Lonchura striata: one gene and its partner. The protein of the gene in region 1 interacts with the protein of each later gene in a biochemical or structural test. Links are inferred from orthologs where the notes say so. Each region holds a gene or a part of one and is shown on either strand. Other genes may lie near its edges.

What was found. The genes of interacting proteins can lie anywhere in the genome.
Region 2: the proteins of TBP (region 1) and BTAF1 form a complex in vitro, tested with the Homo sapiens proteins (2 studies listed by BioGRID). The link is inferred for Lonchura striata from reciprocal best matches to the Homo sapiens genes TBP and BTAF1.

What each region holds. Positions count from the first base shown.
Region 1 is NC_134605.1:42,585,782-42,593,632, reverse strand, and holds the start of TBP (TATA-box-binding protein), read right to left. Parts: upstream 3,010-7,851; 5' UTR 2,914-3,009; intron 1,335-2,913; 5' UTR 1,152-1,334; coding exon 1,098-1,151; intron 432-1,097; coding exon 100-431; intron 1-99. Other genes in the region: PSMB1 (proteasome subunit beta type-1), read left to right, coding at 4,887-4,990, 6,225-6,332, 7,771-7,851. UniProt on the Homo sapiens protein: The TFIID basal transcription factor complex plays a major role in the initiation of RNA polymerase II (Pol II)-dependent transcription.
Region 2 is NC_134609.1:17,469,782-17,477,175, forward strand, and holds the start of BTAF1 (TATA-binding protein-associated factor 172), read right to left. Parts: upstream 3,044-7,394; 5' UTR 2,586-3,043; coding exon 2,572-2,585; intron 1-2,571. UniProt on the Homo sapiens protein: Regulates transcription in association with TATA binding protein (TBP). Removes TBP from the TATA box in an ATP-dependent manner.

The sequences.
Region 1 (7,851 bases):
ACCAAAATGCAGTACCTAATTCCCGATGTGACTTTGGTCCTAAGTCTTTAAAAGCCTGTCTGAGAGAAGACATGATGCACTAACACATGGGGCACTCACTGTAGTTGTGGCACTATGCCAGAGCTCTCTGATGCTGGTGTTGCAGGAGTTATGGGAGTCATTGGAGTCATTGGAGAGGAGTACAGAGGTGTGGTTCCTGGTAAAGGGGCTGTGGTAAGAGTCTGTGAATGGAAGAGCTGGGGGGTTTGACCAGATGTTCCCTGTGTCGCTTGCTGTGACGTGGATTGCTGTGCTGCTTGCTGCTGCTGCTGCTGCCGCTGCTGTTCCTCCAATATGGACAGACTGTTGGTGCTCTGGACAGGCTGCGGTGTCAGTCCTGTGCCATATGGCATCATCGGGCTGAAAATTGGAATTCCTGGAGTCATTGCACCCTGCAGAAGAAAACAAGACACAAAAGCCACAGATCCATTACTCCATTTTGTTTTTAAGAGACAAAGTTTTCAGGAGGAGTCAAAAATAAATCTATGTTAGCCAAGTTGCTCATATCAAACCTGAAGCATATAGTAGTAAATCATTAAAATTAGAAAATCCTCAGAAATGCAGCTGTTCTACAGAATAAAGTACTACCCAAAGGAATCTAGGGAACATGATGTGCTTCTCACACTACCTTGCAAGTGTGTCTCAACTTTGACCCACAATTTAACTTGAAACTGCCTGAACACCAACTGTGCTCACTGTACCCACTGCACTCATAGCCCAGCAATAATCCATTATGTACATAGTTTAAGCAGCAACCACCTAAATTAAATTAAATCTTTCCAACTTGTCAGTCATGTTTCCACTTAAGAGGAACCCCATTAAGAAATCCCACATATATTCTTACAGTCAGTGTATAAAAAACCATGTGTTTCTTATACTTCTGAATATAGACATCAATGGTTTCAAAATTCTGCTTTATACTAGTATTATTCGATACCTAGTAGAATTTTTCAGATCTGTTAACAAAAAAAAAATTGTGAAGGTAGATATAAGAAAGAGAAAGCACTTTCATAAAGGAAATTCAGATCACAGTTACATTTTAAATAATTCGTTTTTACCTGAGGGGAGGCTAAGCCTTGAGCGTAGGGTGGCAAACTGTTGTTCTGATCCATGATTCCAGTTATTTCTTTGGTGAGGCCAGAAGTATTTCCTTCAATTAATTTAAATAAAATTCAAATCCTAGAGGTTTTTTAACCGTTTAAAACATTCCAGCGAAGTAGCTTTTAAAGCCAAGCTGAAAGTATTAGGAAAACATCAGCTTCAGAGAAATATGGATCTACAACACTGTCCTGAGCCTGGAAAAAAAAAGTAATATCTTGAGAATAATATCTAAACACAAACCCAAAAGCAAATCTATCAGCTGCTGACTCAGATAAGAGACACCCACGTACAAATACATATAAGAACATTCACGCGCACGCACACACACATGCACAATCCATAAAAATAACCTTTTTCAGGCACACTCCATAGAAACTTTGCAGTATGATTCTGCTGAAGTCCCTGGCAGGTCACTTGACTCACACGAGCAGGCCTCTATCTAACCAAACCTTCCTGCACTAACAGCTCAAGCTGTTGATGCTCATTCTACTCCAAGCTTCGCTTCAGCTGCAAAAGCACTGATTTTTTTAGAATTTAATTCCCTTGGCTACTAATTGACATTGCTTGTAGTCTCTTCCTGGCTATTTTAAGGCTTGTGCTTTCAAAAATGACTTTTTTTCTTCTATGAGAAGAGCATCACAGCTCAAATCACAGCTAGGAAAACCTCTTCCATCCAATTCCATAAAACAAAGCACTGACAGATTTCAAACTGTAATGACATACATTTTGTGAGGAAAAAAGAAATATGTGAAAACAAATTTCAAGTACGCAAGTGAGACATACAATGGTTTTCTTTCATTTCTAACTACACTTCTGTTGCTCTGTTATGGAAATAAACAGAAGTGGATGATTTAAATTTTATTATACCAATTATATAAAATATTATCCCATTAATTTTTAAGTTTTTTAACTATTGCTAAGAGATACTCAAGGTCATCAAATACATCAGGCCAGACGTAGGCCACCTCAAAATGCAAAGACAGCCTATGCAGCCTCTCTTTTTTTTAAGATATGAGAACTCAGAACTACATTAATATTTACACTGCAGCTAGAAAGGTCTGCTTTTTTCCACCCATGACCTTAAGATATCACCAAAGGTATCAAGAAGACCACCCAGGTTTTACAACGTGGGAACATTAGAGGCCTAAATATTATCCTGGAAGAAACAAACTCAACTCCTCGACAGCCCAGCTATTTAGTAAAAAGGCTGGATACCAGGCATACAAAAACCTGCACCCAGGGCACGGTCTACGCAGAAGTCCCTCCTCTACCCACTAAAGGCGGCTTGCTCGGATCTCCACTACAAACGTCGGGCGACGTTTCGGTCGAGGGAACAGAGTCCAGAAGCCGCAGACAGCCCGGAGGAGGCCCCGACCCACCCCCGGGGGCCCTTTCGGGCTCGCCACCAGCCACGCAGCAGCGCTCGGCGTGCGGCCACAGCCTGCCCGCGCCCCAGCCCTCCTCGCTCCCCACCCGACCCGGCCCCGGCCCCGGCCCCGCCGCTGCCCGCGCCCATCCCGCGGCCGGCGCCTCGGCCGCCTCCCGCTCCCGAGCCGCGCCGGGGAGAGAAAGGCGGCCGCCGCCTCCGCGCCGCGGGAGCCCCTCCGCTTCCCCCGGCCGCGGCTCAGGCCGCCCCGGAGGTGCGGAGCGAGCCCGGCCCGCGCATCGTCCCCGCCCTCCAGGCCCGGCCTGCCCCACACCATCGCGCCCCACCAGCCCGGCCGCGGGCAGGGGCGAGCGGCGGGCACTCGGTACCGGGCGGGCACTCGGTACCTGCGGCTCGCTCCGCTCCCGCCGCGCTCAGCGCCCGGCCGCGCCCCGCCCCCGCTCCCGCTCCACCGGCGCGCCCGGCGCGTCACTTCCCGCCGCCGGCGGGACAAGACTTCGCAGGGAGGAACCGTCGGAAATTATCGAGGGCGAGGGCAGGAGAGGCACCTGGAGAGGCGTAACCACGGGCGCCAGCACAGGCTGGGCCAGCCGGCGGGGAAGCAGCTCTGTGGGGAAGGGCCTGGGGCTCCTGGTGCAAACAGGCTGTCCCCGAGCCAGCAGTGCCGTGTGGCCAAGAAGGCCAGTGCTGTCCTGGGGTGCATTAGGAAGAGCATTGCCAGCAGGTCGATCCTGCCCCTCTACTCAGCCCTGGAGAGGCTGCGTCTGGAGTGCTGTGTCCTGTTCTGGGCTCCTCAGGGCAGGAGAGACATGGAGCTCCTGGAGCAGATGCAGCAGAGGACTACGGAGATGATAAAGGATTGGAGCATCCACTTATGAAGAAAGGCGGAGGAACCTGGACCTGTTCAGCCTTGAGAAGACACGACTGAGAGGGGACCTCATAAATGTGAATAAATATTTAAAGGGTGGGTGTGAAGAGGATTCATCTGGGCCCATCTTGGTGGTGCCAAGCAATAGGACGAGAGGCAATGGGCAGATACCGATGCACAGGAAGTTCCACCTGCATATGAAGAAGAACTTCTTCACTGTGCAGGTGACCAAGCACTGGAGCAGATTGTCCTGAGAGGTTGTGGAATCTCCCTCACTGGAGATGTTCAAGAACCATCTGGACACAACCGTATGTCAGGTGCTTGAGCAAAAAAGGTTGCTCCAGATGACCCCTTGTGGTCCCTTCCAAATTCTGTGGATCTGTGGGGGTCCCTGGCAGTGCACCAGGCCCTCACAGGAGCTATGGTTCCTCACACTGGAGCTGTACAGAGTTCCACACTGCTGTGCAGCCACCTGCGGGTCTTGCTGCTGTGTCTGCACAGTGCCCATGGAGACTGCAGCCACCACAGCTGTGCTTCCTGAGCAGGGCAACACACTTTTCCTCAGGAGCACCATGTGTCCCCTGCATCTCACTGTCCCCGCCCTGTCCTTCTCCCCTAGTACCTCTTCGAGCTTCTATCCCAGCCCTTCCCACTTGTTTCCAGTTGCGCCATGGTGCCTGGCACCACAACCCATGGCCCACCTCGAGGACCTGGTGAGACCCCATCTAGAGTCCTGTGTCCAGCTCAAGAAAGACCTGGACCTGTTGGAGCAAGTCAAGAGGAGGGCCACCAAGATGCTTAGAGGGATGAAGCACAGGGAAAGGCTGAGATAATTTTGATTATTCAGCCTGGGTAAGAGAAGGCTTCAGGGTGACCTACTACAAAGGTGGAGAGGAACTTTTCACAAGAGCATGTAGGACAGGGGGGAATGGCCTCAAACTGAAAGAGAGAGAGTTTAGATTACATATTAGGAGGCAGTTCTTTGCTGTGAGGGTGGTGCAGTACTGGCATAGGTTGCCCAGGAAAGTTGTGGGTGCCCCATCCCTGGAAGTGTTCAAGCAGGATGGATCTTTGAGCGGCTTGGTCTAGTGAAAGGTGTCCCTGCCCATGACAGGATAGATGATCTTTGACGTCCTTTCCAACTCCAGCCATCTGATGATTCTGATTCCCACTCTCTTCACGGTGGTTCCAAAGGCGCTCTCCCTACAGAACAGGAGCCACGCTGCTGCCCACCCGCCCAATCACGACTGGTGCTCCCGACCAGCCTGCGTGTTTCCAGGAGCGGGCACGGCTCTCGTCCAAGCGCTGCCGGCCCAGGCACACACCGCGCCGCAGGCGGCACGGGCCGGGCTCCGCTCCGCAGCGGCGCCGCCGCCCTCCGGCCGGCAGAGCACCGAGAGGAGGCGGCGCTGCGCGCCCCGCCCAGGGCGGCTCCGCTTCCGCCTCCGGTGCCGCCATTTCGCCGTGAGACAGCAGCGATCGGCGGCCGCGATGCTGCCCACCGCGGGACGCGGGCTCTCCCGGCCCGAGGCGGGCTACGGGCTGGAGGCGCCCGTGCAGCACCACCGCTTCTCGCCGTACACCTTCAACGGAGGGTGAGCGGCGCGGGAGGCGGCGGGCGGGACGGGCACGCTCCCGGGCATGGGCCCAGCGGAGAGCCGCGCCGGGTTGGCGCTGCCTCGCCTTACTCCCGCTTCTCCTCGGTGCCCAGTGCGGGTTTACCTCCCCCCACGGTCTCCTCCTCGTAGGGAGAGGGCGGCAGCACAAGGAGGAGCTAGGCTTGGGCTTGCCTTGAGGCCTTGCAGCCTTTCGGGGTGTTCTTGCCTGTCCGTGTGGCTTTTGGAACGCTCGGGCTCCCTAAACTTCGACTGGTCTTAAAGTACGCATCTTTTGTTCCCCGCAGGGTTGTTTCTTTATAGTGGCTTAGGAAAGCCAGGTAATGGTCCTGTTACGGAATCCTGTAACAGAGTTGTTAGGGCTGGATGGGTGCTCTGGAGATCATCCAGTCCAACTCCCCTGATAAGGCAGGGTCACCTCGAGCAGGTGACACCAGAACGTGTCCGGGTGGGTTTTGAATGTCTTCAGAGAGGGAGACTGCACGACTTCCCTGGGCAGCCTATTCCAATGGTCTGCCACCCTCAACGTTAAGAAGTTCTTTCTGATGTTGAGGTGGAATTTCTTGTGTTTTAGTTTATGGCCTTTGCTTTTTACCATGCTGCTGGTAAACGTGTTACTGGGTTGAATGCTACGTTGCTGTAAACTGTTAAAGGCAAGTGATGTTTTAACACTGTTTTAACACACCTGAGTTGGTGGCATGATCTGGCCAGGTAAGCTTTTTTTCTTATAATGACTACTGCTTTTTAAATTAAGTAATTTGTTACTTAATGGTAGTACACCTGTGGTGATCACAGTACTGGTTGTTGGCAAGTAATAACACCAGATTTTAAAAGTGACGTTTATTTAAGTGTAGTGATACAGTTGCTCAGTACTTTGCTTGTTTTAGAAGGATTTTTGTTTGTTTTATCAGGCATATAAAATACCTCATCCATTTGGTCTGGTTCTTGCCTGGTGTAGAGTCTCTGTTTTACCAAGTTGCCTTACAATTTAAATCAGAGTAGAGGGCCACATGTATATATTTTCTTCAGTCTGTCTAGTGTCTTCTTCTTTTTGGCTTGAGTAGGGATGTGCATAGTGGGAAACATAGCAAGGAGAATAAGATACTTGACAGAACATGAGTCTGGGTGTAGAATTACTATCTAGCTTGTTTCTGTGTTACTTGAGAAGATGCTTGTGCTGAAGGCCATGATTTACCCGTACTCTTTTTTTAAGGACTGTGCTGGCGATTGCTGGAGAAGACTTTTGTATCGTTGCCTCTGACACGCGTCTGAGTGAAGGCTATTCAATTCACTCCCGGGACAGCCCAAAATGCTACAAGCTGTAAGTCCAGATCTGCAAGGATTGAAAAAGACGAAAAATCTTTTGTTTTGCTGACCATATCATCTGCCTCTTGCTTTAAGCAGAATTCTTAGAAGAAAAAGCACAGTAACACCGTAGATTTTGGAGTTGTGGTGACCTTTGCTGTAATGCAAGATGTGATGTGATGTTGTAAATATAGCCAGATTTCTTGTTTCATGCTTTTGAAGCTAAGTGAGAACAGAACATTTTTCGCATGAAACAAACTTAAACATGGAGTTTTTTGGCTGGATAATCAGAAGAATTCCTAACTTAACTATAGCAAAACTTAATTATATGGTAACTCATTCTACTTCATCAGGAGATCTGGTGGTGGTATGTAAGTGTGCCCACTGCTGCCAGTTGTACTGTATCTCTCTACCTGGCACTTAGAGAGGTGTTTGTTTTAGGGGAGGTAAACCTATTAGTAGTTCCAGAATTGAACTTTCTAGTCTCATTTTATGCTTAGTTTGACTCACCTGGGTAGCATCTTCTTGGTTTACAGCTACACGTTATTTATGTTCATTTTACTGCAGCAGGTGCTTGCCTTGTAGGCTGTCATCAACTACATAAATATTTTTTTTTTTTGTGTGGGTTATTGTTTATTTTTCTAGATTGATGACATGAAGTCAAAATAACTTGGCTTCTCCTGGCTAACTTGTTATTACTACATATTTGATTCTCTGATACTGTCCAGATGGAGATTAGTCTGGTACAGTATACATATTGCTCACAATGGCTTTATGTAATTCTAGTGACAGGCTGAGAGAAGATTTTGTTTTAAGATATTTTCTGAATGACTGCTTTGGGTAGGTCACTGTGTATTAATATTTCTAGACTCTTTTCTGTTTCCTACAATTAAAATTTCAAGTGTGTGTTCCCATGGTTAGTGTTCATAAAACATTTCAAAACTGAGCAGAGAGCTAAGCTTCTGTAGTGCATCTGCAGCCAGGTAACTTCTGTTTGTGCTGTGAGAAGCCACCAAAACCATAAATGTCATGCAACCATTGTACAAGCTTAATGCAGCCCTCTGGTCTGATGGAGTAAAAATTGGACTGAGTGATAGGATCTGTGGCTCCCCAGTGTATAACAGATCTTCTAGTAAGACTGAATTGCTACAGCTGGAGTCAGGAGTGCATAAAGAAATGAAGAATTTCTTTTTGTCAGTCCTGCTGAGAGCTGAAGAAGGAAGTAGTTGAAGAAAGACATCTGCGTGGTCCTGCATTTATTGAGTCCTCTTCAAGATGTAGGTTGCAGGTGCCTTTTATACACCACAGATCTGTTACTACATTTTAGACAACTGTTTTTGACAGCACTAGAAAAACTGAAAATACATTTGGTGTTTTCATAATAAGCTGCTGTATCAGAAATTGCTGTAGTTCATGCTAAGCCTAATATTGCAACAAAATTTTACGTTTTTCAGAACAGAACGAACTGTCATTGGATGCACTGGTTTCCATGGAGACTGCCTTACACTTACTAAAATTATTGAAGCCAGATTAAA
Region 2 (7,394 bases), on another chromosome or scaffold:
ATATACAATGCAAATATTCTGCAACTTCTTTTGGGATGAGGTATCTACTGTTTCGCTTTATGTCTGTTTTCTACAGCATCAACACAAATGTTTTATAGAAGGAGGTCTTCAATCCATGTAACATAAATTGCAGAATTAAATATCAGACTTTTTTGTCAATATTTTACAATTACTTTTAAGATGACAGTACTAATAGCAAAGCTGCAAATTCTCAATCTAATGTGGAGATTTCAAAGCATTCCCTATGTTTTTTTTTTATCTCCCTGAACAGATTAGGATTTTGTGAAAGGTTTTCAACTGGTCAAAAAGCAGAAACAAAACTTCCTGAGAAAACAACCACCTGATAATTTATTGTTTTGAGAATGTAAAACTATTTTGACCCTCACTTCCAAAATAAGTTATTTTTAAAAGAGTTGTTCCAATATAGAACTACCCCTAATGAAATTATTGTTAATAGTAATGCTTGGTATACACTCCAAGGACTGTGGACTTCAGAGAAAGATGAATTTGAGTCAGCTTCTTCCTCACTCTGCAAACTTGTACAGGTAAGAGGCATTCAACAATGAAATATTATGGTAAAATACAGTAACTGTAACTACCTAGAGGACAAGTGGAATTAGAACAGATGCTGGACCAACTAAACCGAACAAAAAGCAGTTATGCAGTTATACACACAAGTGCACAAACTATTTGTAACATGTCTGAAAGGGAAGGACCTTTGAAGTTCAATGTTCTGAAGTAAAAGGTGAGGAAAGGTATCTTTCTTTCTGAAAGCAGTACTGACACTGTATGAGTGTTCCTATGGTCCAGCAGCAGAAAGGAAACTCCATTTATCAGGAGATGCTGTCTAACTTCAAAGGGACACAGACAGACAAAATTTACACATCATTACTTCTTACAATTATATTAACATTGGTGCTTACCAGGAATACTCAAGATGTTACAGCACTCCAAAATGTGTATTTTTTTTTTAAGCTTCTTTCTTTTTTTTCAGCTTGTAACCTAAGTTACAAATGAAGCTGAAACAACTCTGTACCAACTCACCAGTATTACAGCACCTCTCCTGAGGTTCAATACCTTGTGTTCAGTTGTGTAACATTTGGATACTACAACGATAATCTGAAGCAACATCTAACACTATTATTAACATACCAACTTCCAATGCTTCACACTGAATCTTAGAATGAGCCACATCTAGCTTTACTTTCAGTTCCCAAACGGTGTTAACTAAATCTTTGTACTGCTGTTTTCCACCAAAGCAACCTTGGCAACTGAAATGGAAACCAGCCTTTAGAGCAGACACAGCCTCAGCACACAGTTGAAACGCTCTATCTTGATATTCCTGTTAGCCTCTATATCACATGTACATCAGCAAAGGTGGTTAAGCAGACTGACCAGACCTCATGTAATTAGACGACTCCTCTACTTTACATGATGACTTATTTCAATGTACACGGTAATCTTGTTACAGCAATCCTTACTACTTCCACATTCTTCTGGACAGATTTGGGGGATGAGAAAAAGCCACAACAAACATATAACAAGTTCATAAAAAAATAAGAGTAGAATAAAACAAAGGGATACTTTGTACAAACTACAAAGCTTAAAACAATCTGCAAAAGACAGAAAGAATCATCTGTTATACCTGCTACTAGAAGCCCCTAAAAGGTGCATTGCTGACATTAATTCTGATTTCCTTACAAATATGCACACCTTTACTTTGCTACATAGAATTGCAAACTTATTCACACACAGCTACTGAAACAGAATTTACTTTTGTGATAGCACTTTGGAGGTAGAGATACTACAACACGTGACTTGGAGCTAATCTATCACAAGCTTAATTTGGATTTATGGTTTCCTTTCAATTATTCTGTTCGGAAGCTTAACCCGGCCGTTTCACGCACACACACACAAAAAAAAAAAAAAAAAAAAAAAAAAAAAAAAAAAAAAAAAAAAAAAAAAAGCAGGAATTTGTGGTCAGCATTTTTTATTATAAAACAGCTCTGTAGCTCGGTTAAGACACACCTCTGTATCTGTGAATGCTTTAAAAGCTGGCACACCCCAGAGCACATGTGTGCAAGCAGATACTGCCCAACATTTTGAGGCAGAGCCAGAATACCGTGATCACTTTTCTCCATGAAAGCCTGTTTCATTTTGGTTACTTTACAACCAAGGGCTCTAAAACGCAAAAAACGGTTTCTCGCCAGTTTTTGGGACTCAATATCGTAACTTCCTATTCCCTAACAGTTTAATCACCCTAGGAAAGACTGGCCAACAACACGAAGGTGTCGAACTCAGGAGGAAGCCCGAGACGCCCCAGGCAGAGCCCCTGCGGCCCGAGGGAGGGAGGGGGCACGGGGCTCACCCCCGGCCAGGACCCAAGCCCGGCGCCACAGCATGCAGGCACCCCGGGCCCCAGCGGGGCGGCCGCAGCGAGGTCGCAGGCTCCCGAAGCAAAAGGAGACGGAAAGCGGGCACCCCTCCTCCTCCCCCACACGAGGCCACACGGAGAGCCGGGAGTCGCCGCTGTCGGCCCTAACTCCCCCCAATTTTCCAGCTCCCACCGACCTGGAGACGGCCATGGCCGCCTGGAGCCGGGCCGGGCTGACGGCGGGCGGCGGGACGGGGGGGCCGGGGCACTGCCCGGGCCGAGGGCGCTGGGCCTCGCTCGGGCCTGGGGCGCCGCACCCGGCCTCGGCCCCGCCGGCGATCCGCGGGCAGCGGCTGAGCGCGGCAGAGCCCGGCGGCGGTCGGAGTGTCGCTCCCCCGGGCGGGGCGGCGGCGGCGTGGGCAAGAGCGGCGAAAGACCCTCGGAGCGCGGGTTAAAGCCTCGATTCCCCCATCACCGGGGCGAAGCCCAATGCCTGGTTTTATATGAGCAGCCATCTTGTATTTATTCCCTTCCTCCATGAGAGCCGCTTCCTGATTGGCAAGAGCGTCCAGCCGCAGCCAATGGCGGGAGCGCTTCTAAGAGCAAGGAGGGCGGGAGCGCGCAGCGCCCGCACTGAGCAGGATCGGCCATGGAGCCCGCCGGGCCGGCTTGTGGTGGGGGGGCGGGGGTGCCGGCCTCTGCCGGGGCGTTCCACCTGCACGGCGATGGTGGGGGGGAAGAACACAAAAGACAGAGTTCCAGTCCCGAACCCTGAGAGGAGAAAAGGACACGAGAACGCGGAGTAAACGCTTTTCCTTCCATGTCTACTGGGTGGTAACCCTTCTGCCTCGCCAACACGGCGGGACAGGGCGGTCGGTAGTCGCTGAACCAACGCCGCACCCCGCTCTTGCCGAGGTCCGCTGTCCATCGGCCATGCCCGGTGCTGCGGCGCGAAGTCTCTGCCGGTGGGACTACAACTCCCGGCATGCCTCGCGCTTGGCCGGGCTCGGCCGCGGGCCCCGCCGTCCTTGCGGGCGGGCGCCGCTCCGGAGCCCCGCAGTGAGGGGCGGCTGTCACACAGCGGGCTGGCACTGCAGAGGGCTTGTGGCACACGAGCGTGGGAACACCCAAGGGTTTGTAAGCGTCGCCAGCCACGCCGGGCAGCGACGGGGCGGCTGGTCCGGCCCGGTCACGGCTTCTCTGTGAGGGGCCACGTTGTTTCCCGCTCTGAGCCGTCGCTCCGGCTGGGGCAGCGGCCCGTCCTCCCGGCCCGGCGATGCTGAAAGAGCCCTGGAACCCATCCCGGCAGTGCCCCTTGTCGCGGGCAGGCACACCAGGCTCCCAAGTGCTCGCTATCAGCTTCCATCAGATCCAGATTAAGAAATTAGCCTTCGACTAATCATTTAAATTAATGGTCCCAGACTGGTACATAAAGTTAGCTGACGTAGGTAACCTTTCATGTGATAAGTTGGAAACAAAATAATGGATTTTTTTTTTCCTGTGATGGCATAGACTTGGATAAACATAAATTTGCATAGTGCTGTATGATAAAGTTTTCCTCTGAAGCCCATTGTGGTGTGAGTGCTTCACACCCAACCCTTCTAAAGGGATTTCTGCTCGCCCCAGCCTTTCTGGTTGGTCTCCCTCTCCTCGGAGAGTTAACTCTTCATGTATGGCTCACTCATTCTGTCTGCACGAGCACATATTCTAAACAAACATCCTAATGCTCTCTGCATTATCACTGGCTTTTGACAGTTCTCTGAAGACACTGGGATAATGCTTCAATCTATCCTTACCCATGCAGGTCCAGCCTATACTTCAGCCTTTCCTAAACTATGCCAGGCATGCTGCTTTCCTGCCTGTCCCTCCTGTCCTTTGGTGGGAGCACTGTGGCAACTGAAAACTGGCATTGGAGTGGCCCCAAACAGTGGCAGTGAGAGTCAGCCTGAGGCCTCTGAGCACGGAGTGTGGCCAGAGCAAACTACAGACCTGTTTTTCAGTGGTGGACGTGGGTTTTGTCACAGTGACAACAGTTCAATGACCCAGATAATGCCTTTTGCCTGTCATGGCTCTGATGCAGTAGCTACCTTTAAACAGCTCAGTATACCTTCTGTAGTTGAATACACACAAAAAGTGCAGTGGGTATAGCTGGAGGACAAGAGCCACTCACCAGAGTACTCCAAAGACTCCCCACACCTTCCTTTCTGCCATCCCATATCCTCGTGTTGCAGGTGCACTTGCCTGGGTCCCTGCCCGTGATCCCAGGCACATGCCTGCTCCTGTCCTGTGTGTGTCCATGTTTGATTTAGACAAGTATGGGGAGGGAAGCAGGGAATTGGGGTAGGGAGCAGCAAGCAACAGACTGAGGGCAGAGATATTTTCCTTGTATGTTTGATGCTGTTGACATGGATGCATAGCAAACATCCCTGATAGTATTTCCGTGTTTGTTTAGCCAGGAATCAACAGCCATCCTGTCCTGCTGTGGACGTTATTGAAATGATCCTCAGGTGGTATTTCCAATTCTAACATCCTATTTCCTCTTACATTCCTTAAAAACAATTTTAATAGCAGTCAAGGCAGAGGACACATCAAATATGCAATAAAATGTTTTGAACAGCTCCTACCTGATAAAAATAAATGCAGGGAAAATATTGGTAGTGGGTCGTATGCACTGAGTACTTGCTGAAATTATGTTAAACTGCACTTCCAGCAAAACAATCTGCAAAAGACAGAAAGAATGATCTGTTATAGCAGGCATTCTGGACTCAAACACAATTCATTCAAGTATCACACCATATATATTTGTATTTTGATGTGATATTTATATAAAGCACATCATTATTTAACTATTCACTTGTATCTTCTGCTCAATTATTTCCCTACACTCTATGAAAACTAATTCTTCTTTGTCCATGCATCTGTTCAGCACCTCTATAAGTCACACCAATTTTGTTTGCATTTTTTGGACCTATTTTTCAAGGAGTACCTATACATTTCCTTCCTTCTTCTTCTGTTAAAAGAATCCCCCCCTGAAAATCTGTTGTGTGCCAGTATACTCTCTCCAACCTGCTCCTAAATTAAATAAAACTCAGTAATTACACTCCTTTGGTATGTTTTAATGAGTACTTTCTGCATCCATCTCAACTGGTTTTATTTTGCTTTCTCCCTCCTGCCAGCTGTGTTCACTTGTGAGCTCCTTGCTCAGGCTGCAGATGCACAGTGACAGCAGCTCGGGTCTGTGCCCTGTTGGCTGCCAGAGCCCAGGCAGAAAGAGGTGCAGCCTCCAAGTGCTCCAGCTGTGCAAATAGCAGATGACTGAGACACCGTTTTTCAGTGGAATCCCTCCTGATTAGACCTGACATAACATAATCTTTTACATGTTCTAGACTCTTAGAGGACTAACTTCCAGTTAGTTTTGTTTGTGTCCTGAAGATTTGAAGATTTGTACTGCTCAGGATTACATCAGCCTCTCTGTAGTGGTAGGTATAACATTTGCTGCCTTCTAGTCTAATAAAAAAAGACTATTTTCATAATAGCTTACATGTATTTTAGTGTCTATGTTATTTGATTTCCAAATTCCCTTGGAAAACTTGTCTGAAGACAAGTTAGTCTTAGAAGCTTGCCCCTTCTTAGCAGTTTGCTTAGACAGCTTCTCTGCCGGTGTCTTAATCTCTATTATTATTTTGATAATCTGTGCAAAAAAAATCTGGGAGATACATTTATACAGTATGAACTTATGCAGGAAAATGGTTCAGGTTCTTTATAACATGTATTTCTTAAGAATGCTATCTGTTCTGAGGTCTGCAAACTAGATATCTTGTAGACTATTTCCAACATTTAAACTTTAAAATTCTTATTTGTTTTTATACATTTATCTACTTCTTCTTCAAGTATTATTTAATCTTCCTTGTTTTTATTTGACATTTTATCTCTGTAGGTTAGGCCCCTCTTTAGTAGTGTTGTCAAAATCAGAGTTCTTATTGCTGAAAATTGTTTTAGTTGAGTATTCTCTTGTTTCTAACTAATAGTGTCTCTTGCTATTCTGTTTGATTTTTATTTAAAGGTGTATTTATTTTTCACTAGTTTCCATGCCAACTCATGGCTTTTAATTGTCTTATTTTTACTCCAATGAAGTTTTTTAGTAGCTGCATAACGTTATGAAAGCCTCTTAATAAAAAGTCAACTTGTTCATGGCCTTCCTTTTAAGTTCTTCACAATAAGTGCTGGAGGCTGGATGCTGACTGATAGCTCTAGTAGTTTAAAAACACCTCAGATACCAAGGAAGTGCTGGATTCTGAGAGACAAATCAGGGCAAAGCATTGCCACCCACAACATGCAGCAGCAACATTTCTGAAAAATGTTTGATGGGCTTCAATTTCTCAACATCAAACAGGATTGCAATAACCACTAGGTAGGGAAAATCACCAGCATCTAAAAGATTCCCAATGTCACCAGAGCTGTGTAATTATCTCATTAGATTTCATTACCTCTGATCATATTTAATATTGTCAATTTGTGACAATTTTCTGAATGAGAGGCTCGTGATATGACAAAGAGAGATGGAAAACTTGTGTTTCTCTTCTTGTAATTTTCTAATCTCAGGGATTTTATCTCATGAGATGGCACAGACTTGTTCAGAAGTGTTGCTTCTTGCCTATTTCCATTTTAAACAGATATTCTGTATAAGTGATCAGCCTTGATGTATAAGGTTGTACAACCACCTTGTTTTTGGTAGCCATGGACTTTAATTTCTTCAGCATATATTTCCATTATCATGAATTTCCCATTTTTTAACTCAGCTCTGTTTGCCACCCCATCTTATGAAGCCATAAATAACTCATATCCTTTGAAAACCTTTTATGTACAAACCCTGTAAATTTCTTAGTTTTGTCTAGCAGTTATCCATGCTATCCTAAGTTCAATAAATATTTTACAGTTTGGGTAGTTTATTGTTACTGTGGCATTTTTAGGAAATGGTATTATCTATCAATTGCATACAGTTGGTCTTTTTTTCAAACAA